5 linked regions of the Macaca fascicularis genome follow. The protein of the gene in region 1 binds, or shares a complex with, the protein of each later gene. Links are inferred from orthologs where the notes say so. Each region holds a gene or a part of one and is shown on either strand. Other genes may lie near its edges.

Region 1 (5,836 bases):
GTAGTGCTGAGTAATATTCCACTATGTGGGTGAGCCACAGTTTGTTTGTCCATTCGCCTATTGAAGGATACTTTGGTCGCCTCCAGTGTTTGGTGATTATGAGTAAAGGTGCCATAAACCTCTGCATGCAGGTTTTTGGAGGATGTAAGTTTTCAACTTAGTTGGGTAAATACCTAGGAGCACAACTGCTGACCGTACGGTAAGACTATGTTTGGCTTTGTAGGAAATTGCTGAACTGTCTTCTGAAGTAGCTGTACAATTGTGCATTCCCAATAGCAACAAATGAGAGTTCCTGTTGTTCTGTATCCTGTCAGCATCTGGGATTGTCAGTTTTCTGAATTTTAGCCATTCTAATGTATGTAGTAGTAGCTCATTGTTATTTTAATTTGCAATTCCCTAATGATACATGATGTTCAGCATCTTCTCGTATGCTTATTTGCCATCTGTATATCTCTGATGAGATTTTTTTCTGATTGTTTGCTCTTTGATTCAGTTGTTTATTTTCTCATCGTGGAGTTTTAAGAATTATATATATACACACGCACACATATACACATATGTACATATATATGTACACACACATACACACATATACACACACACACACACTTGAAAAAATTAGAGACAAGTTCTTCTCTGTTGCCCAGGCTGGAGTGCAGTGGTGAGATCATAGCTCACAACAGCCTCCAACTCTTGGCCTCAAGCAGAGTTTTACAGGTGTGAGCCACTAAGCTGGCCTGCATATTTTAAATACAATCCTTAATCAGATATGGAATTTGCAAATATTTTCTCCCATTCTGTGACTTGTCTTCTCATTCTCTTAACAGTGTCTTTTGTAGACTTTTCAAATTTTAGTGATGCCCAACTTACTGTTTTTTTTCTTTTATGCATCATGCTTTTGGTGTTCTAGCTACACAGTCATTGCCAAACCCAAGGTCATCTAGATTTTCTCCTATGTTATCTTCTAAGAGTTTTTATAGTTTTACCTTTTATGTTAGGGAGTATGTTCTATTTTAAGTTAATTTTTGTGAAAGATATAAAGCCTATGTCTAGAATTTTTTTTTTTTTTTTTTTTGCATATGGGTGTCCAGTTGTTCCAGCACCACTTGTTAAAAAGGATGAATTGCCTTTGCTCCTTTGTGAAAGATTAGTTGAGTATATTTGTGTGAATTCCTACTGCCTTTTAATTAAAATTTTGGGTACTGTATATGGGGAATGCTGGTGGTATTTGTTGCAAGCAGATTCTTGTTTTCCCCTCCCTCCAGTCAATAACTGAAAATAAGTGTTTGCAACACACACACACACACACGCACACACGCACATGGCTAGTGCAGTGGGTATCTGTGTACATCATTGTGGACCCCTCGCCCTGTTATCCTTCAGCTTTCTCAGAATACACTAGCTCCTTCCGGCTGTACTTTATTTCCTTGTTTTCTCCCACCTTATAGGACTGCACATTTGAAAAATCGTTGAAACAGATTAAATAACACAGTCTAATTATCACCTACCGTACAGCCCATCTAGCATTTCAAAAAGAGGAATTTTGGTGAGTTCATGATAAATGTAGGCGGTCTCTCTTCCTGTCTTAGGTCTTACAGTGTCCTTTGGGGCCCTGTGAATCTATGATAAAAGATATTGACTCTTTACGGGTAATAAGGCCGGTGGGATTATTGGGCTATTACCAACCAGTCAAGATGAATTCTGAGCTCTTTTGCTTTGTCAGTTACAGGAGATCAGCTATAAATCCTGGCCACACAGTGCTCCAGTTTGAGAGTGATGATTTCCACCACTTTCCCATACTTTAAAAGATTGGCATCTGCCAAGTGATCAAAACACACAAAGAGGCCTTTTAACCAAGTTTAGCTTGAATTTCCAGTTGCTAACCACAAGCAGGTCTGGCAAGCTAGGAGGCCGGTTGGCTGCGCAGCTACTCCAGAGTGTGCGGTAGCCGAGGGCTGCGTCCGCGTAAAGCCCAGAGCTGTAATGATGTCAACTTGTTATTTACTTTCCAAATCTGAATGACTGAGCAAGGCGAAAGGAGAATCAATCAACCACAATGTGACCCTACAGGCGGAAAAAACGCAGCGCTCCCACCAGCAGGCGGTGGGGGAAGGGAAGCACGTGTAGCCAGGGCAGGGTTGCATCATGAGCTCTTTCGCTCGGGTTTTCTATTGCACCCTTCGTTTTTCGATTGCATGTAATAGTCAGCATCAGTCTGCACAAGCCCAGGGAGCCCGGGAGCAACGAAGGGCAGGCTCAAGGGAAGGCCCCACCAAGTCCTTCTGGGGGGCCTTGAATGGCAACTGATACGTAATAAGACACAATCTATTCTGCTGATTCACAATTATGGAGACTGTGTAAGTGTGTATTTTTTTTATTGATGTCCTCTAATGATGGTGTAGCAACAGTCATTTTGCATCATTGACGTTTTACGGCAATATTTTGCAGGGTAATTTTGAGGTCCGCCTTTTTGATGGAGGACCGGCCTCTTAAAAACTCACCTCCGGCCGGGCGCGGTGGCTCACGCCTGTAGTCCCAGCACTTTGGGAGGCCGAGGCCGGCGGATTGCCTGAGGTCAGGAGTTCGAGACCAGTCTGGCCAATATGGTGAAACTAAAACTACTAAAAATACAAAAAAATTAGCTGGGCGTGGTGGCGTGCGCCTGTAATCCCAGCTACTCCGGAGGCTGAGGCAGGGGAACTGCTTGAACCAGGGAGGTAGGTGGAGGTTGCAGTGAGTCGATATCGTGCCACAGCACCCCAGCTTGGGCAACTGAGCGAGACTCCGTCTCAGAAAAACAAAAACAAAAACAAAAACCTCACCTCGGGTCCCCCTCCCCCCACAACCAGAACAACAAATGGTCTAGTGTTCGAGGAAGAGCAAGTAAGGTTATAGTTTAGATTGCTGAGTGCACCGGACTCTTAGCACGAAGCTCATTATATAGTAAAGGAAGGGGCAAGAATATTTGAAAAATATTCAACAAGGCTGACCCCAGAGGTGCTGGGGAGGGGGAGTGGAGATCTGTTTAACTGAATTAAGGCCGCGAGTGGTGGGGAGTAGCCTACGTGGAGGGGAGGAAGGAGCGCTGGGGACTTAAGTGCACCGGGGCCAGGCCGTGTAAGCCATTGCAACATTAAGCACTTTGCAAGGCCCAGAGGGCTGAAGCCTGGGGGTTGGGGTGGGAGTGCTGAGGCCCGAGGGCCCAGGTCCCCCTAACCTCCTCAGCCCCCACACCCGAGCTCCTGGCGCCTATGCTTGTGTGTCTGAGTTTGTCCCTAAGCGTTTCTGGCTCTTCCTGGGAGGTGTTTTGCAAAGGTCGAGGCTCCGCCGGAGCCCCCACTTTTTGAGGTGGGGTAAAGACTACTGGGGTGTCTTCTAAGACGCTTATTTTGAGGGAGATTCACCATCGGGCAGGTGGCAGGGGGTTCTCTTGGGGCAGCTGGGTGGCTTCCTTATTGGGGTGGGGGAGGGTAACACTTTAGCAGGGACCGAGGTTCCCCTGCCCCCCCGAAACAGAGGGGGTGGCCGAGGTTCCCGTCCCCTCGAGGCAGTCGTGGAAAGGCTGGGTTTGGGATGTGATGGGGGTAGCCCTGGGGTCCTCTCAGTCCCACGGAGGCCACGGGGAAGGGACCGGGACCGGAGCAACTCGGGAAAGGCTTGGGTTCCCCTCACCCACCCTAGGCGTTGGGGAGCGGGGCGGGCTTGGTAGGGACGCTGGTCCCCCGACCGTGGGGCAGGGGCTGGGTTGGGACGCGGGTCCCCTCTAGGAGCCGCGGGGGAGGGGCAGGGCCGGAGTCCCTACCCTCGTGGGGGAGGGGCTGGTTCGGGACGCGGCTCCCCCGGGGCTCAGGGGCGGGGCTGGGTGGGACGCCGGGTGCCCTCCCACGGCCGTGAGGGAGGGGCTGGCGGAGGGGGCGGACCCCTGGCGGTAGTCCTGGTTGGGGTCCGCGCGCTCGCGACCGCTCCCCGCGGAGGTCACTGCCCGTGCCAGTCCCTCCCGCTGTTCCGCCCTCTCCCGCCGCCGCCGCCGCCGCCTCCGCCGCCGCGCCCGGCTCAGCGGCCCCACTCCGCGCTCGGGAGCGAGGAGTCGCCAGCGCCCCCGCCGCGCCGCCGCCGCAGCGCCCTCCGGCCGCCATTCGCCACCGAAACTTTCCAGCGCCCGCGCCCTCTCCGGGACTCGGCGGCGGCGGGGCGGGGGCGGCCCGGGGGCGGCGCGCGGCTGCTCCAGGGCGCCGGGCCCTCTTCGGCCGCCGCACGGCCGGGGCTCGGAGGCTGCCGGCCGGAGGGAGGTTCGGAGCGCGGCCGGGCGCGCGGCGCCGCCACAAGTTGCGCTGTTCGCGGCGAGGTGAGTGCGCGGGGCTCGGCGGGCCGGGCGCGGGGTCCGCAAACTTCTGCGGGGAGGCGGTTCCCGCGCTGACCCTCCAGGGTCTGGCCGGCGACTCGGGGCGCCCGGACGCTCCACCCGCCCCTGGAACTACAGGAGGCGCAGGTCGCCAACTGTCCCCGTGGCGCTCGGACTGGGGTGCGGCGCGCTCCCAGGAGGCTGAACAATACCCCGAGGTGGCCGCTCCCCAAAGTGCCGGCGCGCCTTGCGGGGAGAGACAGAGGTCGGCGGGGGGCTCCTTTGTTTTGGGGAGGGGTAGGTGACCGGTAAGTTTATGGAAGAGCTCGGCTTTTCCTCTGGTGCCCCTTTGTCTGCCGATCTTGGGGCTTGCTGGGCAAACCTGCGCCACCGCGGGCTCGGGGGACCGGGGTGGAGGGCGGTGGCGGGATTTCCCCGCTGTTGGGGAGAGGAGCCCCATTCATCCCCGGGAAGCGGGCCGGCCCGCCCGGACCCGGGTGGAAGCGCAGCCTTACGAAGTGAGGCAAGCGGCGGGCGAGGTGGCGCGGGCCCCGCGTCTGCTCAGTTTCTGAGGCGCAGAAACTGTCAAGGAAGTCAGGAGCCCCAGTCCTCCGCCCATCTCCCCGGCCCGAGCGCACAGCTGGGCTGGGGACACCCCTGGCCGGTCGAGGGTCTGCAGAGCGCCGCCCGGAGAGAGCGCAGACCTGTTGCTGCTCCTGGGCTCTGGCGGGGCGGGTGGGGTGGGTCTCGCAGATCCTGGGCCCCGGCCTTGCTACCCAGGAGGACCTTCCCTAAGGATGGGACCGGTGCTCGGAGTGGGGTATGGGGAGTGCGCCTTCGGGAATCAGCGCTGGCCGGATATGTGACAACTGTGGGTCGCTGGAGGCCCGCCTGCGCTGGGATAGGGCCTGGACCTCACGTGCGTCGCCTGTGCTCAGTCAGACCGGGGCCGGGACTCGCTCCCTGCAAGGCCTCGTGTTCCCCCAGCCAGCTGCGTTGGACGTTCCACAAAGGTAGGGACTGACGTTTATTTTCCAGTCAGTGATGTTCTGGAGCAAAACCTGAAAAGAAACAAAAACCTATCCTCTATTGTATTTGCGACTGTTTCTGCTTTGCATTGTCATGTGTGACTTGACCTGCCTTCTGGATGTTTTCCTCTCCTGACACATTCGCCGAGCCCCTGGTTTCACCTGGAAGGCGAGGGGGAAGGACGGCAACCTCCCTGCTAAGGTCCCAGGCAGTGGCTTTGGTGTCGGAAGTGGCACTTGAGGATTTTATGAAAAGTTTACAAGTCTTTCCTAGAAAAGATGTGATTAGGAAAAATAAAATACAGAAGAATGTTCAGTATGACGCGTTTATTTTAAAGGGTAGTCATGTCTCAAATGTGCTGCAGATTCTTGTGGAAAGCCACCAAGCTGGGTAACTAATACAGACAACGAGTTTTTCACCGCTGGATCACCGGCCCTTAAGGCGATTCCAGCCCTTAATAGAACA
Region 2 (5,321 bases), on another chromosome or scaffold:
GTCAGGTACCAGAGCATGGAGCCCACATTCATGGGGCAGCCACAGAGCAGCCTTTCTCACAGCAGGGTGACATCAGTGGGCGTCAGGAATCCTGGGTCTTGGCCCACCTCTGTTCTTGAGCTGCTGCGTGACCTCGGGCAAGTCCCTTTGTTCTCTGGGCCTCCGTTTCCTCAATTCAGCAGGGGTTGGGGAGAGCCTGGACTCCCAGCTCTAAGGGCCCTTCCCATCTGAGCAGCCTACCCTATCACCCTCCTCACTGTCTGGATTTCTCCTACAGTCGGAATCCTACCAAGAGGACATATACCCTCCAACAGCAGGGGCCCAGCCCTCCCTGACGGCCCAGGAGTGGCTCAGCGGGATGAATCAAGGTGAGGAAGACAGAGGAGAGGCCCAGACAAATGTGGCAGGAACGTGGAGTGCCCAATGGCCCCAAGCAACTGAGAGGGGTTGGGCCTGGATTTTTATTCTCTCATAACCTCAGAGGTCATGCCCTTGACCTTCAGTCCCCAGTGGGTAGCATGGTCACATACAGGTCCAGAAAGTCAGGGGGCTTGACCTGAGGGCTCAGGAAACTCCAGCTCAAGGGACTTTGCTCCATGGAAAGCTTCTTTACACTCTGAGGCTATGCGGGGTGCCTGGACCACCTTAGCCAGACTCCCCATCCCCGTTCCCCACCCCTAGCTCTGCAATTCTTTTTTTTTTTTTTTTTTTGGAGACAGAGTCTCGCTTTGTTGCCCAGGTTGGAGTGCAGTGGTACAATCTCAGCTCACTGCAACCTCCACCCCCACCCCCGCATTCAAGTGATTCTCATGCCTCAGCCTCCTGAGTAGCTGGGACTACAGGCACGTGCCACCATGCCCAGCTAATTTTTTGTATTTTTAGTAGAGATGGGGTTTCGCCATGTTGGTCAGGCTGGTCTCAAACTCTTGACCTCAAGTGCTCCACCTGCCTCGGAAAGTGTTGGGATTACAGGCGTGAGCCACCGTGCCTGGCCTTTTTCAATTCTTCTTGACCCAAGAAGTCCTCCAGGCAGCAACCCCCACCCAGGTCCCTCTGCCTGCCCTGCCTGTCCTGAGCCACTCTCCTGCTCCTGCCAACATGAAGGCCAGCCCAGCGGAAGCAGCCACCCCAGCCGCTCCCTCTCCCTTCTACCCCCCAAACTTCCTTCACCCCCACCCCAGCGGCTGAGTGGGCCTCCTGGTATACTGGAAGAGCCTCTGCCTTGGGGGACAGGGAACCAGTGCCAAGTCGTAGTTCTGGATAACCTTAAGTAGGTTTTGCTCCCTGGGCCTCAGTTTCCTCATCTGTAGCCATGATGCCAGCCTCCCCTGCTTCTTGGAGGTGGTGAGAGAACTAATGGACTTGGTAGATGGCGGGGTGCAGTGTGGGTGGGACCGTCCTTACAAAGGAAGGGCAAGGTCTCACGTGAGCTTGAAGTGCTTGGGGGGCTGCTCCAGTGCACGCACCGTGCTGTTCCTACAAAACAAGCTTCACTTCGAGGGTGGCACATGTGGGTATTTGTATCTGGTAGCCCTGCTCTGTGGCTTTGTGCCTGTCCACATGTAGCTGTATTTCCCACACCTGTTGCATGGGTCAGCATGGCTCTGAGTATCTGTGCATGCTGCCTGTGTCATTGGTGCCCTATATGCCCATCTGCCCATGGGCACCCAGTCCTCACACAGCTCTGCTTCCCTTCCAGACCCAATCCTGGTGTCACTTAGGCCTGGCTCTGAGCTGCTGAGACCCCACCCACTGCCTGCAGAGAGACCTGTCTTCCATTCCATGGCCCCAGCCTCACCCCGGCTCTTGAACCAGGCAGAAAAGCTGGCTGCAGAAGATGGCTGGAGGTCTTCCTCCCTGTTGGAGGAGAAGACGCCAAGATGGGCAGCAGAGCACAGGCTGGAGGAGAAGAAATCCTGGCTGACAAATGGCTTTGATGTTTTCGAATGCCCCCCACCAAAGACAGAAAATGAGGTGTGAAGGAGAACGGGGTGGGCCTTTCACATGGGGCAGCTGGGGTGGAGGGCAGCAGATCCAGGCTGAGAAGAAGGGAGAAAATGAGGCATGAGAATAACCATCTGTGTGGCCTGGCCTGGTTGCTTGACTCATTTTGTTAATTCATTCAACAAACAGGCAGTGAGCTCCGTCTTATGCCAAAATAATGGGCATAGATAAAGATGGTGGGAGGCCAGGCATGGGGGCTTACGCCTGTAATCACAGCACTTTGGGAGGCCAAGGTGGGCAGATCACGAGGTCAGGAGTTCGAGACCAGCCTGGCCAACATAGTGAAACCCTATCTCTACTAAAAATACAACAATTAGTCGGGCATGGTGGCACGCACCTGTAGTCCCAGCTACTCGGGAGGCTGAGGAAGGAGAATGGCTTGAAACCAGGAGGTAGAGGTTGCAGTGAGCCAAGATCATGCCACTGCACTCCAGCCTGGGCAACAGAGCAAGACTCCATCTTGAAAAAAAAAAAGATGGTGGGGACCAGGTGCAGTGGCTCACACCTGTAACCCCAGCACTTTGGGAGGCCAAGGTGGGCGGATCTCTTGAGGCCAGAAGTTTGAGACCAGCCTGGCCAACATGGTGAAACCCTGTCTCTACTAAAAATACAAAAATTAGCTGGGTGTGGTGGTGCGTGCCTATAATCCCAGCTACTCTGGAGGCTGAGGCAGGAGAATCACTTGAACCCAGGAGGCAGAGGCTACAGTGAGCCAGGATCACACCACTGCACTCTAGCCTGGGCAACAGAGTGAGACTCTGTCTCAAAAAAGAAAGAAAGAAAGAAAGAAAGATGGTGGGAAACCATCTGTAAAATGAAGAGGGTTTGACCTGATGGATATCAAAGTTTTTCCAGTTCTGATATTATAGGATTTTCTGTGCTTTCAAAGTCCACATTTGTTAAGTGCCTACTGTGTGGCAGATCCTGGGGTAGGCACTTTGATATAGCATGTGATTGAATTCTCTCAACAGCCCTGGAAGTCAGTCTGAAGTGGCTAAGAACACAGAGGCCGGCATCTCACAGATGGATTCTGATCCTGGCTCTGCTGAGTACTAATTTAGGGTCTCAGACCCAGAGACTGAATGTCTCTAAGCTGCCGTTTCCACAGTGGTACAGTGGGGACACTGGCACTGCCACCCTTATAGGGGTGTCAAAATGTTCCAGTGGGATAACGAAGGCCCTTAGGGCATCACTCAACATCTAACACCTATTCTGCACAGCGGCAACAATTATGATAATGATGAGGGCAGTTTTCTGACCCCATTTCCCGGAGAAAGTAATGGAAGCTCAGAGTGGGTAAATAACTTGCCCAAGGTCACACAGTTCAGTGGTGGCATAAACACCAATCCCCAGACTTCAGAGCCAGGCATGCTTTCCTCTATTCCATGGAGGATCTCTGGAGGCAAAATACATCTGAAACATGCCAGTCTTCTTGAATTTCATTTACTGGGTGAAGAAAACAAGGTGTTTGTAAAAGATCTATGCAGTGACAGCCTCATCAGCCCTCTGCCGTGTTAATGTAACCACCTCCACCTTTCTGAGTCAAAGACGGATAGCAGTTTAGCTTTCAGCTGGTGTTCTGACACCCTGGTGATCCTGCCTTCCAATCTTTCTTCCCCAGTTACTGCAGATGTTCTACCGACAACAGGAGGAGATCCGAAGGCTCCGGGAGCTGTTGACCCAGCGAGAGGTCCAGGCCAAACAGTTGGAACTGGAGATCAAAAACTTGCGGATGGGCTCAGAGCAGCTCTGAGCAGAGACTTCTGCCCTCCTCACCCTCAGGGACACCACTCGGCTCCGTGGGGAGGTTTAGAACCAAACCACAGGTCCCCCTAAGAACAACCACTATTTCTATATTTTTTACCAGAAAACAAAACTCTCCATCGCTGAAAGAGATTCCAGTGGGACATGGTGCCGTTTTTCTATTTGCCTTCTTGCAGCAACAGTTTCTGAATTGACTTTGTTTTCAGACGATGCCTTCTGTTGAATTCTGTTATTAAGGGTCCATGATGAGCTGTAACTTCTCAAGAGGAAGAAACACAGTAGAAAACTAGAGCTGGAAGGACCTCGGTTGACCTGTCTGTGATTTTCAAACTGTGGTCCAGAGAATAGGGGAAGAGTGGGCCAGATGCAGTGGCTCATGCCTGTAATGCCAGCACTTTGGGAGGCTGAGGTAGGCGGATTGCTTGAGGTCAGGAGTTTGAAACCAGCCTGGCCAATATGGTGAAACCCTGTCTCTACTAAAAATACAAGAATTAGGCTAGGCGTGGTGGCTCACGCCTGTAATCCCAGCACTTTGGGAGGCCAAGGTGGGCGGATCTTCTGAGGTCAGGAGTTCAAGACCAGCCTGGCCAACATGGTGAAACCCCATCTCATACAAAAATTAGCTGGGCGTGGTGGTGCATGCCTGTAAACCCAGCTACTTGAGAGGCTGAGGCAGGAGAACCACTTGAGCCTGGGAGGCGGAGGTTGCAGTGAACCAAGATCATGCCACTTCACTCCAACCTGGGCAACAGAGTGAGACTCCGTCTCAAAAAAAAAAAAAAAAGAAAGAAAGAATAAAACTTAGCCAGCCGTGATGACAGGTGTCTGTAATCCCAGCTACTCAGGAGGCTGAGATAGGAGAATTGCTTGAACCTGGGAGGCAGAGGTTGCAGTGAGCCAAGATTGTGGACTGCACTACAGCCTAGGTGATAGAGCAAGACTCCATCTCAAAAAAAAAAAAAAAAAAAGAGAGAGAGAGAATAGGGGGAGACTAAGCAGGAAGGCTGTGTCTCCCTTCCCCACACTGTGTTCCAACCAGATAGCTCCCTTTTATTTTATATGTTGGGCTAATATGAAAAACAATTCTGCTAGTAAAAAAAAATTTTTTTAGAAGTTTGAAAACTAGTGATTTCACCCAAGTTCCTCATTTTACAGGTGGGGAAACTAAGGCCCAGAGAGAAGCAGGTGATACTTGTTTCATGGCAGGGCTGGGCTGAGATCCTGCTTTTCCGGGTCTGTCTTTTTGTTGTTTTGGGTCTGATGCAGTTCTCAGCCCACAGAGTAGAAATCTGTTGCTTCTGGCCTCAACTGTGCCCCAGCTTACTCAGTGACCTCTTGCAAGTCCTGCCCTCTCTGGTCTCAGTTTCTTCATCTGAACAAGGAGTACCCTGGAACAAGCTGCTGTCTGCAGGATCTGCCACCTGAAACCTTGACCTAAGGGAAAACTACCTATGGGGTGATCTGGGTTTGCTGCAGAAACTAACAGACACTGGCAAGGGGCCAGGGGCATTCAACCCAATTCTACAACACAGGCAGGAGGTCCAAACCAACCT
Region 3 (5,999 bases), on another chromosome or scaffold:
TTTTTTTTTTTGAGATGGAGTTTCACTCTTGTCGCCCAGGTTGGGGTGCTGCAGTGGCGTGATCTCAGCTCAGTTCAACCTCTGTCTCCCAGGTTCAAGCGATTCTCCTGCCTCAGCCTCTCCAGTAGCTGGGATTACAGGTATGCATCACCACACCCAGCTAATTTTCGCATTTTTAGTAGAGACGAGGTTTCACCATGTTGGCCAGGCTGGTCTCGAACTCCTGACCTCAGGTGATCCACCTGCCTCCCAAAGTGCTGGGATTACAGGTGTGAGCCACCGCGCCCAGCCTGCCGTATTTTCCAGATGAGAAGATTGAGGTGGAAAAAGCTCCCATGCCCACATTCTCACAACCAGGAAGCCGCGGCATAACTTAACTTGATTTAATTGCAGTTCTCTGTGACCATGATTCTTTGTATTTATTCCATCAATGGTCATTACAAAGATGGAAGAAGGGTACTTATAACCGAAGCCCCAAGCACAATGGCCATTTGTCATCTAAAACAAATCTGTATTTTCTCCAACCACCAGACACTTCAACAAGTACAGTTCTGAAAGGGTGTCCCCATTAGACACCCTGTGGCCCTATATCACAAGGGCAGCCCCTGATGTCTTCCCCACCATTATCTGGTCCCCACTGTTCTCTGACTTTCTTGCCAACTACTCTTCCCCTTCTTCAACCTGCTCCAGTCCCCCATCGTCCCGCTGTTTCTTTCTTTTTTTTTTTTTTTTTTTTGAGACGGAGTCTCGCTTTGTGGTCCAGGCTGGAGTGCAGTGGCCGGATCTCAGCTCACTGCAAGCTCCGCCTCCCGGGTTTACGCCATTCTCCTGCCTCAGCCTCCGGAGTAGCTGGGACTACAGGCACCTGCCACCTCGCCCGGCTAGTTTTTTGTATTTTTTAGTAGAGACGGGGTTTCACCGTGTTAGCCAGGATGGTCTCGATCTCCTGACCTCGTGATCCGCCCGTCTCGGCCTCCCAAAGTGCTGGGATTACAGGCTTGAGCCACCGCGCCCGGCCGTTTCTTTCTTTTTTTTTAAGACAGAGTCTCGCTCTTGTCACCCAGGCTGGAGTGCAACGGCACAATCTCAGCTCCCTGCAACCTCCACCTCCCGGGTTCAAGCAATTCTCCTGCCTCAGCCTCCTGAGTAGCTGGGATTGCAGACATGAGCCACCACGGCCAGCTAAATTTTTTTGGTACTTTTAGTAGAGATGGGGTTTCACCATGTTGGCCAGGCTGGTCTTGAACTCCTGACCTCAGGTGATCCAGCTGCCTCAGCCTCCCAAAGTGCTGAGATTACAAGCGTGAGCCACTGTGCCTGGCCCTCGTGCTGTTTCTTCAACTCACCAGGCATATGACCACAGGACCTTTGCATTTGCTGTGGAATGCTCTGCCACAAGAGAGCTACCTGGCTTGCTCCCTCACTTATCTCTGCTCAAAGGTCACCTTACTAGAGGCCTTCCCTGAACACCCTCTATAAAAAGACAACTCCCAACTCCATCCCCATAGTCCTTCCTTCTTTATTTTTCTCCAAAGCACTTATTACCACCTTACATATCATGTTTATTATTTGCTGAATGAACAAATGAACCAAAGTAGCCAGGCCCTTCACCCCGGCCACCACTTTCTGCTCTAAGTATAGCCTCCTGTGACCCTTTTCAAAGCTATGCTTTCATGTTCATCCTCACCAGTTTGAAGCCTGAAGAGAAACATTCTGTGAAAGATCATATATGGGAGGATTTTCCCAAGACATCAGATATTCCCCTCCCCTTAAAAATCAAATGCACTAGCCGGGCGCGGTGGCTCAAGCCTGTATTGCCAGCACTTTTGGAGGCTGGAGGGGGCGGATCACTCAAGCCCAGGAGTTCGAGACCAGCTTGGGTAACAAAGTGATACCCCACCTCTATTTAAAAAAAAAAAAAAAGGAAGAAAAGAAAAACAAAACAAAACGAATGGACTTACAAACACAGGCAAAGACTGGAGACCTGCGGCTCTTTCGGTCAAAGAGCAGCCAAGACAAGATCCACCCACAGAGCCATAGTGGCCAGCACAGTCAGTTTCACTATCAACTCACCTGTCGGGCCGGCTCCCTTGGCCCTCCGGTTGCAACCTCACCCTGTTGGATTTCCCTATACTTTGTGTCATCCCTTTTGGGAGCTGATCCAGAATCCAAGTCGTCCCTGAGCTTCTAAGCACTTCTCTGGGGGAACTTAAGCTCATCCAACAGGTAGGAGGGGCAGAGGGTGGCCCTTTCAGCCTACACCGATCCCCCATCTTGTAGGGGCAAACGACAGAGCGTCATTTTCTTTCTGGAGGAAGGGAGCTCAGTTTTAAAGACACGATTCTCAGACCTGGCGGCAGGGATAGAGAAAGGAGCCCTCCCACCACTGGCCAAGATGGACCTCAGAGAGTGGTTGCAGCGGCGATGCTTAGGCCCAGTAGGCAGGAGACGAAGGAGGACGCAGGTACATCCCTTGGCCCGGGGTACGGGACCTACCCTGGATGGGGCTGCCCTCAGCGTCGGGAAGCGGACGTGATGCTTCGCAGGCGAGGAGGAGCGGAGAATGCAGCCCAGGAGAATCCGGGGCCAGAGCACCTCAGGAGGTTGGGGATCTCGTCAGGCTAGACCCGGGGTCCAGGGGAGACGGGGGTCGGCGGGGCGGAGCTTGGGATCCCGGGGACGGGAGCTCCGGGAGGAAGGGGGTCGCGACGGGGACCCCGTGGCGGTTACCTTGCCCTCAGGGCTGCCGGCGGGGCTGAGGCTCCCGGGCCCGGCCCCTCCCCCGATCCGGCTCCTACGGCTCGGAGGCTGCAGCCGCCGCCGCCTCCGCTGTCAACAAACCTGGGGCGCGTCACTTCCGGGGCCGCCCCTTAGCAACAGCGAACGGGTTCCCCCGATTAGTCCCGCGGCTAACGCGGGCGGCGACGGCGGAAGGTTCCGGCGACCGGCGGGCGGCTCCTTTCCCGGGCCCGGCACATTAGGCCGGTGGAGGAGGCCGCCGGGTACGCCCCCAGGCCGCCTGAGAGAACGCGTCATTCAGGGCTCTCCCTGGCCTCCGAGGGGCCCATTCGTGGGACCCCGGGATCAGTGCCCGCCCGGGCGCTGCGGTTCACCTGAGCCCAACACTGCTGAAGGGCAGGACTGACTGGGCGCCAGCCCCCTCCATCCAGCGCCCTACTGAACATGTCTTGCGTTCTCCACGGGTGGCTCACAATCGCGTGTCCACCCGCAGTCATCACCGTCCCCCAAAACGTGCTACTAACCTCCATCTAGGGCATGAGCCACCAGGCAACCGAGCTTCCAGATGGGAAATTGGGAGGCGACGTCGGCCCCTGCATTTCCCTGGGCCCCTTGTCCAGTCTCCAAGTCCTGAGGATCCTCTCAAACCAGTCCCTTCTGGCCGAGCGCCGTGGCTCACGCCTGTAATCCCAGCACTCTGGGAGGCCGAGGCACGCGGATCACCTGAGGTCAGGAGTTGGAGACCAGCCTGGCCAACACGGTGAAACGCCGTCTCTACTAAAAACACAAAAGTTTAGCCGAGCGTGGTGGTGCGCGCCTGTAATCCCAGCTACTCAAGAGATTGAAGCAGCAGAATCCTTTTAATCCAGGAGGCAGAGGTTGCAATAAGCTGAGATCGCACCACTGCACTCCAGCCTGGGCGACAGAGGGAGACTCCATCTCAAAACACCATCATTTCTTTTCTGGATTTATATTTTTTTCTTTTCTTTTCCTTTCTTTCTTTCTTTTTTTTTTTTTTTTTTTTTTTGAGAGACGGAGTTTCCCTCTTGTTGCCCAGGCTGGAGGGCAATGGCCCTCAGCTCACTGCAAACTCCCCGGGTTCAAGCAATTCTCCTGCCTCAGCCTTCAAGTAGCTGCGATTACAGGCGCCTGCTATCACGTCCAGCTAATTTTCGTATTTTTAGTAGAGATGGGGTTTCGCCATGTTGGGCAGGCTGGTCTCAAAGTCTTGGCCTCAGGTGATCCGCCCACCTCAGCCTCACAAAATGCTGGGATTACAGGCACCAGCCCGGGGCTTGCTTTTCTATCCAATGTGAGAAACTCTGCCTTTTACTTGAAGTGTTTAGACCTTTACATTCACTGTGATTATTTTCCTGGTTGACTCTAAGTCCATTTTGCTATTTGTTTCTTTTCTTTTTTTTTTGAGACGGAGACTCTCTCTGTAGCCCAGGCTGGAGTGCACTGGTGCGATCTTGGCTCACTGCAAGCTCCGCCTCCTGGGTTCACGCCATTCTCCTGCCTCAGCCTCCCGAGTAGCTGGGACTACAGGTGCCCACCACCACGCCCGGTTAATTTTTTGTATTTTTAGTAGAGACGAGGTTTCACCGTGTTAGCCAGGATGGTCTCGATCTCCTGACCTTGTGATCTGCCTGCCTTGGCCTCCCAAACTGCTGGGATTACAGGCGTGAGCCACAGTGCCCGGTCTGCTATTTGTTTCTTATTTCCTATTTGTTTTCTGTTTTCTTTCTTTTTTTGTTGTTGTTTGAGACAGTCTCGCAGTGTTGCCCAGGCTGGAGTGCAGTGGCTTGATCTCCACTCACTGCAACCTCCACCTCCCCCCCGCCCCCCGCCGAGTTCAAACAATTGTCCTGCCTCAGCCTCCAGAGTGGCTGGGACTACAGGCACATGCTGCCACACCCGGCCTATTATTATTATTATTTTATTTAATTTTAGTAGAGACAGGGTTTCCTGGTGTTGCCCAGGCTAGTCTCGAACTCCTGAGCTCAGGCAATCAGGCCACCTCGGTCTCCCAAACTGCTGGGATTACAGGCGTGAGCCACAAACTGGGCTTTTTTTTTTTTTTTTTGTGAAACGGAGTTTCACTCTTGTTGCCCAGACTGGAGTGCAATGGCACAATCTTGGCTCACTGCAAACTCTGCCTCCCAGGTTCAAGTGATTCTCCTTCCTCAGTCTCCCAAGTAGCTGGGATTACAGGCGTGCACCACTACACCCAGTTAACTTTTGTATTTTTAGTAGAGATGGGATTTCACCATGTTGGCCAGGCTGGTCTCGAACTCCTGACTTTGTGATCTGCCCGCCTCGGCCTCCCAAAATGCTGATATAACAGACGTGAGCCACCACGCCCGGCCCAAGTGATGTATTAATATGAGAGTTCCCATATAGTCACATCCTCATCAACAATCGTTATTGTCTCTCTGATTATATCTAAAGGAGTGTAAAACTGTACCTCCACCTCCTAGGCTCAAGCAGTCCTTCAACCTCAACCTCCCGAATAGCTGGGACTATAGGTGCGCACCACCATGCCCAGCTAATTTTTGTATTTTTTGTAGAAATGAGGTCTCCCTATGTTGCCCAGGTTGATCTCCAACTCTTGGGCTTAAGCCTCAGCCTCGACAACCCCATCTGCTGAGAATATAGGTTGTGAGTCACTGCGCCAAGCCCAACAGCTTTTTTAAGGATTCAAGACTGTACGAACATAGCTGTAGGTGGTCAAAGATTAAAAGGTACTATGCAAGAAAAAAAATCCACAAACTTAGTTCTTGGAATGGAGGGGGGCACCTGTCAAGAAAGGGTTCCTCAAGAAAAGAGCGTCTAGGCAGGGCGTGGTGGCTCCTGCCTGAAATCTCAGCACTTTGGGAGGCTGAGGTGGACAACACCTCAGATGGACAACACAGTGAAACCCTGTGTCTACTAAAAATACAAAAAAAAAAAAAAAGGCCAGGTGTAGTGGCAACTGCCTGTAGTCCCAGCTACTTGGGAGGCTAAGGCCAGACTGGGTGACAGAGCAAGACTCTGTCTCAAAAAAAAAAAAAAGAAAGAAGAAAGGAAGGAAAGAGAAAGAAAAAGAGAAAAAGAAAAGGAAAGAGAGAGAGAGAGAGAGAGAGAGAGAAACGGAAAGGAAGGAAGGAAGAAAAAAAGAAAAAGAAAGAAGGAAAGGAAGGAAGGAAGGAGCGGAGGGGGGGGGTGGCGGGCTGAGTGTGGTGCCTCAAGCCTGTAATCCCAGCACTTTGGGAGGCCGA
Region 4 (6,022 bases), on another chromosome or scaffold:
TGCACCCCTTCAATCTGTCGGGGAGCCCCTCCCCTTCACCTAGCTCCCTTGGCCAGGAGCAAGCGAAGCCGTGGCCTTGGTGAAGCTGCCCTCCTCTTCTCCCCTCACACTACAGCCCTGGTGGGGGAGAAGGGGGTGGGTGCTGCTTGTGGTTTAGTCTTTTTTTTTTTTTTTTTTTTTTTTTTTTTTTTTTTTTTAATTCAATCTGGAATCAGAAAGTGGTGGATTCTGGCAAATGGTCCTTGTGCCCTCCCCACTCAGCCCTGGTCTGGTCCCCTGTTGCCCATAGCCCTTTACCCTGAGCACCACCCCAACAGACTGGGGACCAGCCCCCTCCCCTGCCTGTGTCTCTCCCCAAACCCCTTTAGATGGGGAGGGAAGAGGAGGAGAGGGGAGGGGACCTGCCCCCTCCTCAGGCATCTGGGAGGGCCCTGCCCCCGTGGGCTTTACCCTTCCCTGCGGGCTCTCTCCCCGACACATTTGTTAAAATCAAACCTGAATAAAACTACAAGTTTAATATGAAGCCCCCAACTCAGCTGCTTATTTGAATTAAATGGGTATATTTGGAAGCTACAAAAAGACTGAACTCTGCCACTGAGTTCATGGAACCCGCTGTCTATCACTGACTTGCTGTGGACCTGCCAGTCATCCCCCCACCCCCCAAGCAGCCTTGACCTATTCCAGACAGTTGGGTGGGAGGCAACACAAACAGCAGCAGCCAGGGTCAGTGGCAGGTAGATTTTATTGGCCTGGGACACACGGGGGGTATCCTCACCCACAGTGGGGCAGGGGGCATGATGTTGAAGATATAATCTGATCGTCACTTGTGGTAGAATCGCGGGTTCTGGCTGTGTTGGATGAAGGGGAGCCGAGGGCCAGGTTGGCTGGTAGCTGCAAAGCCCGACTGGCGGTGGTGATGAAAAGAGGGCTTTGTCACTGGGCGTACTCTCCCACTTAATGCCCTACTGGTAACCACCCCCAGAGAGGAAGAAAAACCAGGTGATGTGGGCCACCGGTCCTACCTAATCCTGCTTTTCTGGATCCCTAGTGTAAGGATTCTGACAGGTAAACTTTATTATCATTCTTACCTTTCCTGCTGGTTGCATCTGCACAGGGAGCTGTGGGGAAGCAAGGAGTCCAGGGGCTGGATGCAGAGCCTGGGGGTGCATGGGGCGCAGAGAGGACTGCAGAGAACAGAGTCAGGGCCTGAGGCATACTGATGCTCCCCTTAACATATCCCTAACCCTGACCTCCCAAGATGCCATACTCACTGAGTCGGAGAAGCCAGTCTGCTGGTTAGCATGTTCCATCTGCTTTTGCAAGGACAGGGCACCACCAGGCTGGAGGAAACCTACGTGGGGAAGAGGGGCATGTGAGATGAGAATGAAACAGGGAGGGGAGGACCCAGAGAGCTAGAGCTCCTGCATGGGATGTTATCACCTGTCTGAGTGGGCTGAAAGTGGCCGTGCACGGCATAGGGCTGTGGCTGTGGCTGAGATAGGTACTGCACTGCAGGGAATGCTGAAGGAGCTGAGAAAGGAAAAGACAGAGCCATTAAAACCTTTTACTCAACGGCATTCCTCCTTTGACGTTGAGGAAGGCCAAGCCCCATCCCTCCTATTACTCACCTCTGAGCTGCTGACTAGGACTATAAGCTGGCTGTGTGGGCCCATAGTGAGGTGGGGGCTGAGCAGTCCCATAGGCACCACCAGGACTGCCTTGGAATTGTCCATGCTCTGGTGTCCCCGCAAAAGCAGCTGCTGAGCCCACATAGTGCCGGGTCTAAGGAGGGAGAATGAGAATTCGCCTATAAACTTGAAAGCTGAAACCCAGTGACTTGTGTATATCTGTATGCCCCATTTCCCCCTAAACTTAAGTGCTTGATATGTTTGTGACTTGAATACTGGTGGCAAGGATGCATGGATGGAAGCAGTAGGGGCTGGGCATCCAATCCTACTCTCACCGTAAGCACTTGGGGTCCAAACATTTGTTTGGCTCTGTCAGCTGCCATGAGGGTGCCTGGGCGATTGTGTCCTCCAGGGCTCCCTAGAAAGGGAGAAGGGCTTCATGATGCTGAAATGGGAGGCTGCAACCTGTAAGAAGGCCGGTTCCATCAGGTGGTCTCTTTAGTCCTCACCCTGCATGCTGAGGAGATGAGTTCCTGTGTGGACAGTCAGGCTCTGCTGGTATGCAGCTGATGTCAGGGTGGTCAGGTCACTGGAGTGAGAGGAAGGCAGGTCAAAGCTAAGGACAGATGCCTTCTCTTTCGCCATTAAACACTAGTTCTTTTATTACTTGATCCCAGTTCCACTTGGCCCCCATTTCAGTTTTTAGTACTCTGATCCTACCTCTGTTCCTTTCGCCTCCGTTTTTCTTCCTCATGTAAAACTTTCTTGAGCTGCAGGAAAAGCTGATGCTTCTCTTCCTGTAGGGCCAAAAGCTTCTCCTCCAACTTCAGAATCTGGGAGGGAGTGGGAAGAGAAGATGAAGGCAGGGAGAGTCAAGGGAAGAAATCAAAGCTGGGAGAGTTCAAGGGACTGCTTACTTGTTCCTTGGTCTCCTCTAGTGACATTCTCTCTTCCATCTCCTTTTTCTTCCTTCTCTCCTGTTCTTCCTTCATCTTCTGTTCCATCATCTTATCCACCTCTTCTTCCTCTGGAGAATCAGGCAGAATGAAGAAGAGGCAGGGTAGTGAAAACAGTTCCAACGTTAGATTGAAGACCAGCAAAACCCAGTCATCCCAACACGCCTGTGCGCTCTTTGCCTCGAGGGGACAAGCTCCCCCATCGCTGCAATAGGGAACGGAGAGGCTTTATCAGGTGCTCTCCAAGGTCCTTCCCGTCTCAAGGGTTCTGGAGCGTGGACCAGGACGCTTAAATCCCACCACAACGGGGCTATTCCTTCCCTCCTCTGCGCTCGGCAGCGGGCTCACTGGTTGGCCGCTGGGTTGAGGCCAACCCTGAGGTACAGGAGCCATTCTGGGCCGTGTGTCCCCCCGCTATGGCCCCGGCTCACCCTGCCGCTTGCGCTCCCGCTCCATCATAATGTGCCGGTGCAGCGCCCTGGCCATGGCGTTGGAAAGCTTGGGGCGCTCCAGGAGTGCGGGCATGGTGCTGCCGTGGGCGCTCGGGCCGTGGGCGCCCGGCTCTGTCTCTGACTGCCAGACCTCAGACGGCGCCTGCGGGGAGGCGGGCGCTCAGAGGGGACCGCGCCCGGCCCAGGCGGAAGCCCGTCCGCCCGACCCGCTAGCCGCCCCGGTCACGTGTCCCAGGAGCCCGCCACCCGGCCGGGCCCGCAGCCCCCGCTCCACCGCGCGCACGGGCGGCGCCGGGATCCCCGACTCGGTGCTGCCGCTCCCTGCCCAGCCAGCCCGGACGCCAGCCCTCCCTACCCGCCTTCTCTGCGCTTTCTCAGCAGCTCCGGCGCGCCCTGGCCCGTACGTCACATCCGGCGGCCCGGCCAAGTCCTTCCGGAGTCACGGCTGCGGCCGACCTCACGGGTTGGGTGAGAGAAAGCGGAAGCGCGCTGCGACGGGTGCCCGCGGCGTCCAAACCCCGTAGCCGGGAACGCGGGCGACGAGGGCTGTAAACTGGTCTTGGCATCCTCAGCTCTCTTTAATTTCGCGGGCCCACCTGGTGGCACCCCAGGGGACGCGGGCTCCGGGGAGGGGCGCGCGAGAGAGAGGCCGAGGCGGAGGCTCTGAGACGGTGTTTATTGGCTCCTTAGAAATCAGAGTCAGTAACAACTGTACAGAGGCCCCCATCTTCCGTGCGCCCACCCTTCCCCACTCCCGCCTGGTGGCCCCGGAAAAAGCAGCTTCATGTGGGCACAGGGAGAGACTCCTCTGGGATTCACAGTAACCAGAAACAAAAACGGAAATAAATTAAGTGATGTGGGGAAGGGGAGTAAAAGGGAGTCATGTTCCCCAAATCAGTGCATGAAGAGGGGTACCAGGGCCTGGAGCTGGGCTCCCACGGCTCCTCCCATCAGACGGAGTGCTGGGCCTCCAGACATGGAGCTGTGCCACTTGCCACCTACATCTGAGAGCCTGCCTACATGCTCCTGCGCGGCTGCCAAGCTCCAGCACCTGCGCATGCCACGAGTCACGGGAATGAGGTGGAGGCAGTCGCCAGAGTCCATGGGCCCGAGGCCCGACTGTGCTTGTAGTATTTGTGTGTCACCCCTCATTCCACCCGTACCAGCAGGGCATAGAGGAGTGTGGCCCCCTTCTCCTTAGTGACCCACTCAAGTTCGGCTGGACTGAAGTGAGGGTCAGGAGGTTCTCCAAGGGCAGCGGAAGGGGGTCCCGGGGTGTAGGAGCCAGGGCGCACACACACCTGGAACGCCACCTGAGCCTGGTGCGTCCGCTGGGATTTGGGGTCCCGGAATCTGTCAAACAGGAAAAAATAAGGGAGTGAAGCTTCTCTCCCCATCACCTCCCCCTTGCAAAGTCTGTTCCAACCACACAAGCCTTGCTGTACCTAGGAAATACTCCCGCCTTATAGGAGCTTCACTCTAGCTGTTCTTTCTACCTGAAATGTTCTTCCTCCCAAAGCCTGCTCAGCTACACCCTTCACTTCCTTCTTCAAGCCTTTGCTCGAATCTCTCCCACCTTCTTACGATGCCCACACCAGCCACACTGCTGTCTCCTTCGCCCCCCTCTTTCCTACGATGCCCACACCAACCACACTGCTGTCTCCTTCGCCCCACTCTTTCTTACGATGCCCACACCAGCCACACTTCTGTCTCCTTCGCCCCACTCTTTCCTACGATGCCCACACCAGCCACACTGCTGTCTCCTTCGCCCCACTCTTTCTTACGATGCCCACACCAGCCACACTGCTGTCTCCTTCGCCCCACTCTTTCTTTGTTTCCATAGTCCTTACTTATTACCTTTAAAAATACTAAATACTGGCTGGGCGCGGTGGCTCACGCCTGTAATCCCAGCGCTTTGGGAGGCCGAGGCGGGTGGCTCACGAGGTCAGGAGATCGAGACCAGCCTGGCCAACATGGCAAAACCCTATCTCTACTAGAAAAATTAGCCGGGCTTGGTGGCACACGCCTGTAGTCCCAGCTACTCAGGAGGCTGAGGCAGGAGAATCGCTTGAACCCGGGAGGTGGAGGTTGCAATGAGCCGAGATCATGCCACTGCACTCCAGCCTGGATGACAGAGCAGGACTCCGTCTCAAAAATAAATAAATAAATAATAAATACTTATTATGTATGAACATTATAGAGAGAAAAGGCAGAGGTTCCACAAGAGCAAGGTTCCTTTTCTTGCCCACTAGAAGAGTATATAAGTGGTATTTGTTCAATGAATGAAAAAAGGGCTGAGTTGGAGACTGGCAGCTAGCAAGAGGAGGTGAGAAAAGGGGAGGGCAAATCATGAAGACCCCAGTGGCTGCGCTCAGGCCCTCTTCATCCGAGCCCCTGGAGATCTCTCCCCACCCCTCCCAGTACTCACTGCACTTTGGAGGCCAGGGTCTCGGCCCCAGCATATTGAAGGGAGGGGGAAAGCAGCACAGGAGGGGGCTGCTCCTCCCGAGGAGGTGCACAGTTCTCGCCAGGCTCCTCGAACCCTACCCCAGGCTCTCCCTTCAAAGGACGGCAGCTCAGGATGGAAGCAGTACCTGGGAGGAGAACTGGGTCAAGATAGCCCTTTTTATTCCTCCACAGCCCCCCAGGCTCAGCCCACCTTGCATGGGCCTGCTCCCCAGTACCTGCTCCCAGCTCCCCTCGGTCCAGCACTCTCCGTACAGCTGCAACATTGCTCCCATGATAGGCCATGTGCCACTTCTTGGTTAGTGTCCCAGCCTCCAGGCGGGGATTCACTCTACGAGGTGGACAAGCGGGGCAGATAGAACGAAGGACACTGGCTCCCCAGTGGAGGAGCTTCACGAGGCTCTTCCTTAGGCAGGAAGTTCTATCACTTCTTCCATGCACCTTCTTGGGATCTCCATTTCTCCAGGGGGAAAACAGTAGGGGAAAGGCATGACCCTGCCCGTATGTACCTGAGGTTGAA
Region 5 (5,979 bases), on another chromosome or scaffold:
AATTAGCCGGGCGTGGTGGCGGCGCCTGTAGTCCCAGCTACTCGGGAGGCTGAGGCAGGAGAATGGCGGGAACCCGGGAGGCGGAGCTTGCAGTGAACCGAGATCGCGCCACTGCACTCCAGCCTGGGCAACAGAGCGAGACTCCGCCTCAAAAAAAAAAAAAAATTAACAAATATAAAATACAAAGCTTTATAATAACCATTCATTCAACTGTATTTATTATCTACGAAAAATACTGCACTAGGAAAAGTAGCCTCTACTGATAATTCCTAGCTCAAAATAAGCTAATATTTTGCCTTCTCCTCACGTCTCCCATACATACACTGTTACTCTGTGTGTACATGTTTTAACCATCAAGGAAAAATCAAGTTAATTAGATGCAAAGTTTAAAACATAATCATGCCTAATATGTCTGCTGTGTTCTGAATGTTTCTGTCTCCCTAAATTCATATGTTGGAATCCTAATTCCCAAGGTAATGGTATGAGGAGGTGGGGCCTTTGGGAGGTGATTACATCACCAGTGTAGTGCCCACATGAATGGGATTAGTGCCCTTATAAAAGAGGCCCCAGAGAGCCACCTGGCCCCTGCCACCATGTGTGAAAACAGTGAAAAGGTGACTCAGGAACAGCCCTCATGAAACACCAAATCCGCTGGGGAACTGATTTTGGACTTCCCAGCTTTCCGAACTCTGAGAAATAAATTTCTGTTGTTGACAAGCTACCTAGTTTATGGTATTTTGTTACAGTAGATTGAATGGGCTAAGACAATATCTTGCTTGCCTCATTTCCTACTACACATCTTCATTCTTGCATCCTTCCATGCTATATAATGGTAATACTACCTCCTACAATGCATCCTAATTCCTTCCTACTTTCTTTCTTTAAAAAAAAAAAAAAATCCCTGTGAGGGCATCCTTTCTACTTGCTACTCATATTCATGAGGCATTCTTCCCCTTCCCAAAATGATCTATAAAAACCCTATTCAACTTTCAGGCCCAGCTCAAAGGACACTTTTGAATCCTAAATACCTCAAGCGGAGTTCATAACTCCTCCCTCTCATACATTCATTCTCAATGGAAGGGCCCACACTTTCAAAAATCTAGCAATGTGATGTCTTAGGTAGGATGGCTCTTTATTCTGAAAAGTATATCATCATACCTCACTCAATATCATTTTTGCACCAAAATTAAGATTCTCTGCCCAGGCGTGATGGCTCATGCCTGTAATTCTAGCACTTTGGGAGGCCAAGGTGGGAGGATGGCTTAAATCCAGGAGGTCAAGACCAGACTGGGCAACACAGCGAGACTCCATTTCTACAAAAAGTTTTACAAATTAGTGGGGCGGCCGGGCGCGGTGGCTCAAGCCTGTAATCCCAGCACTTTGGGAGGCCGAGACGGGTGGATCACGAGGTCAGGAGATCGAGACCATCCTGGCTAACACGGTGAAACCCCGTCTCTACTAAAAAATACAAAAAACTAGCCGGGCGAGGTGGCGGGCGCCTGTAGTCCCAGCTACTCAGGAGGCTGAGGCAGGAGAATGGCGTGAACCCAGGAGGCGGAGCTTGCAGTGAGCTGAGATCTCGCCACTGTACTCCAGCCTGGGCGACAGAGCGAGACTCCGTCTCAAAAAAAAAAAAAAAAAAAACAAATTAGTGGGGCATGGTAGTCCGTGCCTGTGGTACCAGCTACTTGTGAGGCTAAGGTGAGAAGATTGCTTGAGCCCAGGAGTTCAAGGCTGCAAAGAGTCATGATTGTGCCACTGCACTCCAGCCTGGGCCACAGAGCAAGATCATCTCCAAACGACGATTCTCAGACTCACTCTTTCTGTGTAATCCACTAGCTACCTCAAATTTCAATTTAAGTTTATACTAGTCAGGTGGCAAATGAGACCATAAAGTGAATCATTCAAGCACCTAGCTGGCCTGGGCACTTGGAATAATAAGTAAGGCACGGTTGCTACCTAGAACTTACATTCCACAGGGAGAAACAGGTTAGCATACAATAACAGTGTGTGAAAGTGAAGGAGACAGACACAGGGAAATGACAGACTAAAAATGCAGGAGCGAGTTAGGGAAAATTCATAGATTAAATAATTTAATAGTACATCACTTTTCTAAAAAACAGATGGAGGGAAAAAAAGAAACTGACTAACCTCCTAGGGGAACATAATTATCAGGACTTAGTTGTGCCTTATTCCTCCCAGAGACCAAAATTTAGCTTGTTGCATATGTTGGAGCAATGTTTTCAATAAATGTACAGCAAACCACTTATAACCCAACTCAACGAAAAAATCCAACTGAAGCCTCAACCTATTTTCAAACAGAAAGAAAATTTGCAAATATAAGGTTCTCCCAACTAAAGGCAGACAGAGCAAAACAAATGAACTCTTTAGAAGGTTTAAAGAGACAGTCACAACCTGCCAAGCTGATTGTCAGTCTTCAAATGCCCTTGGTCTCTGCCTCCAAATGAAAACAAATCATTTAAGTAATAATAGTCAAGTCTGTAAACAAGTATTTTTAAATTTCTCCAGCTGTACCTCCACATTAAAAGATGCTCAAAAAAAAAGAAAAAGAAAAAGAAACTCGAAACATTTTTTAGCTATTTCTGTCAAAAGACTAGATCTCTCCTGAGGTCACAGTATGCATGCTGGCCCTCATTTCATTGCTCTGTAACACACCACCACTCCGGTTTTGCAATGACACTAGTTAATAGGCTTCCAGGATCTCTTCAATACCTCCAAAAACGAAAAGGAAGAAGCAAGCCTACAAATCCCTATCTGCCCGACCTACAGCTCCCGGGAAGCAACAGTCCTCAAATTGTTACTGCTTAGACCCCTGAAGCCCGTAGAAGGAAATGGGGACAGCTGCGAAAGCGAACCGAGCGAGGACATCCGATAAGGGAAGAGGAAACCTGGATGGGAGAGGACGAAGGGGAGAAGGAACACGGAGAGGAGGGGGCAGTGGAGATAAAATGGTGAAGAGGGGTGAGAAGAGCAAGGAAGAGCAGCGAAAAATAGGGAGGAAAGGGGGGGGAAGTAAAATTCACATAAGGGAAAAAAAGGCAAAATGATAGAGGAGAAAGGAGGGAAGGGTTAGGGTTAAAGGACAAGGAGTGGGCGACAAAAGGAATGCGAAAAAGGCTGTCACTGGGAGTGATAAAAAGGATGTCATCGGGGAGAAGGCAGATTCAGTGGATGTCACCTAAAGGGGTTCACCCCAGCAGGTGAATGGGGGAGCACGGACAAGGAGGAGCTGGACACCGAGGGGGCGGTAACGAGGGAAAGAGGTAAAGGCAGGGAGCCCGAGGGGACACCAGAGACAAGGAGGGGCAAGCCCGCAGGGGCTAGCGCGGCGGGCGGGGGCTAGGGTGGCGGGCGGCTGCGGCTAGGGCAGGCCTTGCTCCCTCACCATGGCTGCGCCGGCCTGGTCCTCGGGCATGCAGCCTCCGTCCTGGGTGCGGCGGCGGGCCGGACCGGAGCCCGCCCCCAGGCTGAGCCGGCGCGGAGGCTCCAGGAGGCTCCGGCGAGCGGCCGCTCCGGGCTTGGCCCAGGCCTCGGCCTCCTTCCCTTAAGCTAGAAGTGTAGCAGCAGCAGCCGCAGCCGCAGCCGCAGCCGCAGCCCGAACCCGAGCGCAGACTCCGCCCCCGCGAGGACCCGCCCGGGCGCGCGAGCCCGCGCTTGGCCCCGCCTCCGCTCTCAATGCGCAGACTCAGCCGAGGGCTCCCGCCCCCCCCCCACCCCGACCTGTAGTTTCTCCCCCTCCCAGACCCTTAAAGGAGCAACACACCCCTAAATCCTAGCCTCCCTTCAAAATATGAAGAGCTTTAAATATTACATTATGACAAGAGATTAGAGCACCGCTCGCTTAGGTCGCCTATAGACCCCTCTGTCACTCATCATCATTCTTTAAGATTTGGGCTTCTGGTTCACTGTCATTCATTACTACTATTGTCAAAATTCTTGGTGATTTCAAAATTCGCTTAATTCTTCCAATCCTCTGGCCTCGCAGATTCTTCTCTAGGGATCATTCTTGGCTCAGCCTCTCACTCTCATGCTCATACGAATAATTGTAACTTCTCTACAATCTTAATTTTAATCCTCTAACTCCCATCGCAACCTTCTTCCTTTCTTTTTTTCTTTTTCTTTTTTTTTCTTTTTTTTTTTTTTTTTTTTTTGAGATGGAGTTTCGCTCTTGTTGCCCAGGCTGGAGTGCAGTGGTGCGATCTCGGCTCACTGCAACCTCCACCTCCCAGGTTCAAGTGATTCTCCTGCCTCAGCCTCCCGAGTAGCTGGGATTACAAACACCCGGCACCAAGCCTGGCTAATTTTTGTATTTTTAATAGAGGCGGGGTTTCACCATGTTGGCCAGGCTGGTCTCGAACTCCCGACCTCAGGTGATCCACCTGCCTCGGACTTCCAAAGTGCTGGGATTACAGGTGTGAGCCGTTGCGCCCGGCCACAACCTTCTTCCTTTCTAGCTCACTCCCTCTGATAATACTCCAACTCCAAAAACTTCAACTCCAAGACCCTAAATCCATTGATCCAACTACCTTTTCGCTATTCCTCCCCACACTGGCCTCATGTACTGACTTTCTTCCTGAAACAGCTTAGATTCTATTGTCCATCATGAAATGGAATCTAATAGAATCTAAGCTGTTTTGGTACATGAGGTACATGAAGTCGATTTCTTCAGTATTACCTTCATTTCTCTAGTCGTTTTCTGCTTTCTTTGTACTGACGGAACTCCAGCAATGGAGTGGGTGGAGAAAAAGCCAAAAGTGGTTGACTGACTCCCCGTAAATTTGAGATCATTATTGTCAAGGGGCCATAATGCATGGCCACCCTACCACATTTCTCCAGTTTCACACACTCTCCCACCTTGCTACATAACTATTTCAAGTCTCCTGTCTCTTCAAACCTCCAACACTTCCTCCCTCATCCTCATTTAGCTGATGATTTTGCTTCCAATTCATGAGAAAATCAAACAAACCAAAAAGAACATCTACAAGTTCCCAGCACCCACCATGACTTCCAACTAACCTGTAACTCTGCTTTGATACTCTCTGCCTTCTTTTCCTTACTGCAAGCGAATTATTTGTCTTTTAGCTAATGTCAAATCCTCCTCAGTTCTCAAGCATCTGTGCTAAAAGACCCAGGTTTTATCCCCAATCACAAAACTAAATTTCTGTAAAATTAATTACTAGAAAAAATTAAAATTTAAAAACAAGCATCCAAAATGCAAGCCCAGACTTTTTAAAACCTGCTTAACCATTTTAAAGTGTATAGCTCAGTGGTATTAAATACATTCACATTGTTGTACAACCATCCCCATCAAGAACTCCAGAACTTATTTTTCTTTTATTTATTTATTTTTTGAGACAAGGTCTTACCGTGTCACCCATCAGGAGTACAGTGGCACAATCACGGCTCACTCAACCTCAAACTCCTGGGCTGAAGTAATCCTCCCACCTCAGCCTCCTAAGCAGCTGGGACTACAGGCACGTACCACCATGCCTGGCTAGTTATTTATTTATTTATTTATTGCAGAGACAAGGTCTCACTGTGTTGCCCAGGCTTGTCTCAAACTCCTAGACTCAAGTAATCCTCCTGCCACAGACTTCTAAAGTGCCGGGATTACGGTCGTGAGCCGATGTGCCAGGCCTCCAGAACTTTTTTATCTTGCAAAGCTGAAAGCTTGTACTCATTAAACAATAACTCCCCATTCCTAACTTCCCCCAATCCCCGGCCATCACTGTTCTGCTTTCTGTCTCTATTAATTTGACTATGCTAGGCAGAATTTTTATTATTAAATCCAGCACACATAAAATTTTTCTGTCAAATTGTTATAAAAGTTTCAAAATATTAATTCTGAATTGCTGTCACAAACTGGTGACAAACCATTTCTAGACGGTCACTAGTCCACTGATCACACTTTGAGAAGCTCAAGTACTAGATCTCATACCACATCACTTTCTCAAAGAC

Evidence for each region.
Region 2: TBL1X (region 1) and CORO2A share a complex: the UniProt entries of both Homo sapiens proteins name them as parts of the N-Cor repressor complex. The link is inferred for Macaca fascicularis from reciprocal best matches to the Homo sapiens genes TBL1X and CORO2A.
Region 3: TBL1X (region 1) and ZER1 share a complex: the UniProt entries of both Homo sapiens proteins name them as parts of the E3 ubiquitin ligase complex. The link is inferred for Macaca fascicularis from reciprocal best matches to the Homo sapiens genes TBL1X and ZER1.
Region 4: TBL1X (region 1) and GPS2 share a complex: the UniProt entries of both Homo sapiens proteins name them as parts of the N-Cor repressor complex. The link is inferred for Macaca fascicularis from reciprocal best matches to the Homo sapiens genes TBL1X and GPS2.
Region 5: TBL1X (region 1) and ZYG11B share a complex: the UniProt entries of both Homo sapiens proteins name them as parts of the E3 ubiquitin ligase complex. The link is inferred for Macaca fascicularis from reciprocal best matches to the Homo sapiens genes TBL1X and ZYG11B.

What each region holds. Positions count from the first base shown.
Region 1 is NC_088395.1:9,142,753-9,148,588, forward strand, and holds the start of TBL1X (F-box-like/WD repeat-containing protein TBL1X), read left to right. Parts: upstream 1-2,134; 5' UTR 2,135-2,357; intron 2,358-3,907; exon of another isoform or gene 3,908-4,345; intron 4,346-4,912; exon of another isoform or gene 4,913-5,355; intron 5,356-5,836. UniProt on the Homo sapiens protein: F-box-like protein involved in the recruitment of the ubiquitin/19S proteasome complex to nuclear receptor-regulated transcription units. Plays an essential role in transcription activation mediated by nuclear receptors.
Region 2 is NC_088389.1:59,998,121-60,003,441, forward strand, and holds part of CORO2A (coronin-2A), read left to right. Parts: intron 1-277; coding exon 278-368; intron 369-1,699; coding exon 1,700-1,974; intron 1,975-3,625; coding exon 3,626-3,757; 3' UTR 3,758-5,321.
Region 3 is NC_088389.1:15,181,332-15,187,330, reverse strand, and holds the start of ZER1 (protein zer-1 homolog), read right to left. Parts: upstream 3,439-5,999; 5' UTR 3,264-3,438; intron 2,844-3,263; exon of another isoform or gene 2,497-2,843; intron 1-2,496. UniProt on the Homo sapiens protein: Serves as substrate adapter subunit in the E3 ubiquitin ligase complex ZYG11B-CUL2-Elongin BC. Acts to target substrates bearing N-terminal degrons for proteasomal degradation with the first four residues of substrates being the key recognition elements.
Region 4 is NC_088390.1:7,368,835-7,374,856, forward strand, and holds GPS2 (G protein pathway suppressor 2), read right to left. Parts: upstream 3,450-6,022; 5' UTR 3,396-3,449; exon of another isoform or gene 3,320-3,395; intron 3,179-3,319; 5' UTR 3,110-3,178; coding exon 3,016-3,109; intron 2,656-3,015; coding exon 2,546-2,655; intron 2,462-2,545; coding exon 2,349-2,461; intron 2,218-2,348; coding exon 2,138-2,217; intron 2,047-2,137; coding exon 1,964-2,046; intron 1,783-1,963; coding exon 1,629-1,782; intron 1,531-1,628; coding exon 1,441-1,530; intron 1,352-1,440; coding exon 1,272-1,351; intron 1,185-1,271; coding exon 1,089-1,184; intron 905-1,088; coding exon 821-904; 3' UTR 725-820; downstream 1-724. Other genes in the region: NEURL4 (neuralized-like protein 4), read right to left, coding at 4,185-4,389, 5,465-5,630, 5,721-5,833, 6,012-6,022. UniProt on the Homo sapiens protein: Key regulator of inflammation, lipid metabolism and mitochondrion homeostasis that acts by inhibiting the activity of the ubiquitin-conjugating enzyme UBE2N/Ubc13, thereby inhibiting 'Lys-63'-linked ubiquitination.
Region 5 is NC_088375.1:181,984,156-181,990,134, forward strand, and holds the start of ZYG11B (protein zyg-11 homolog B), read right to left. Parts: upstream 3,638-5,979; 5' UTR 3,437-3,637; coding exon 3,407-3,436; intron 1-3,406. UniProt on the Homo sapiens protein: Serves as substrate adapter subunit in the E3 ubiquitin ligase complex ZYG11B-CUL2-Elongin BC. Acts to target substrates bearing N-terminal degrons for proteasomal degradation with the first four residues of substrates being the key recognition elements.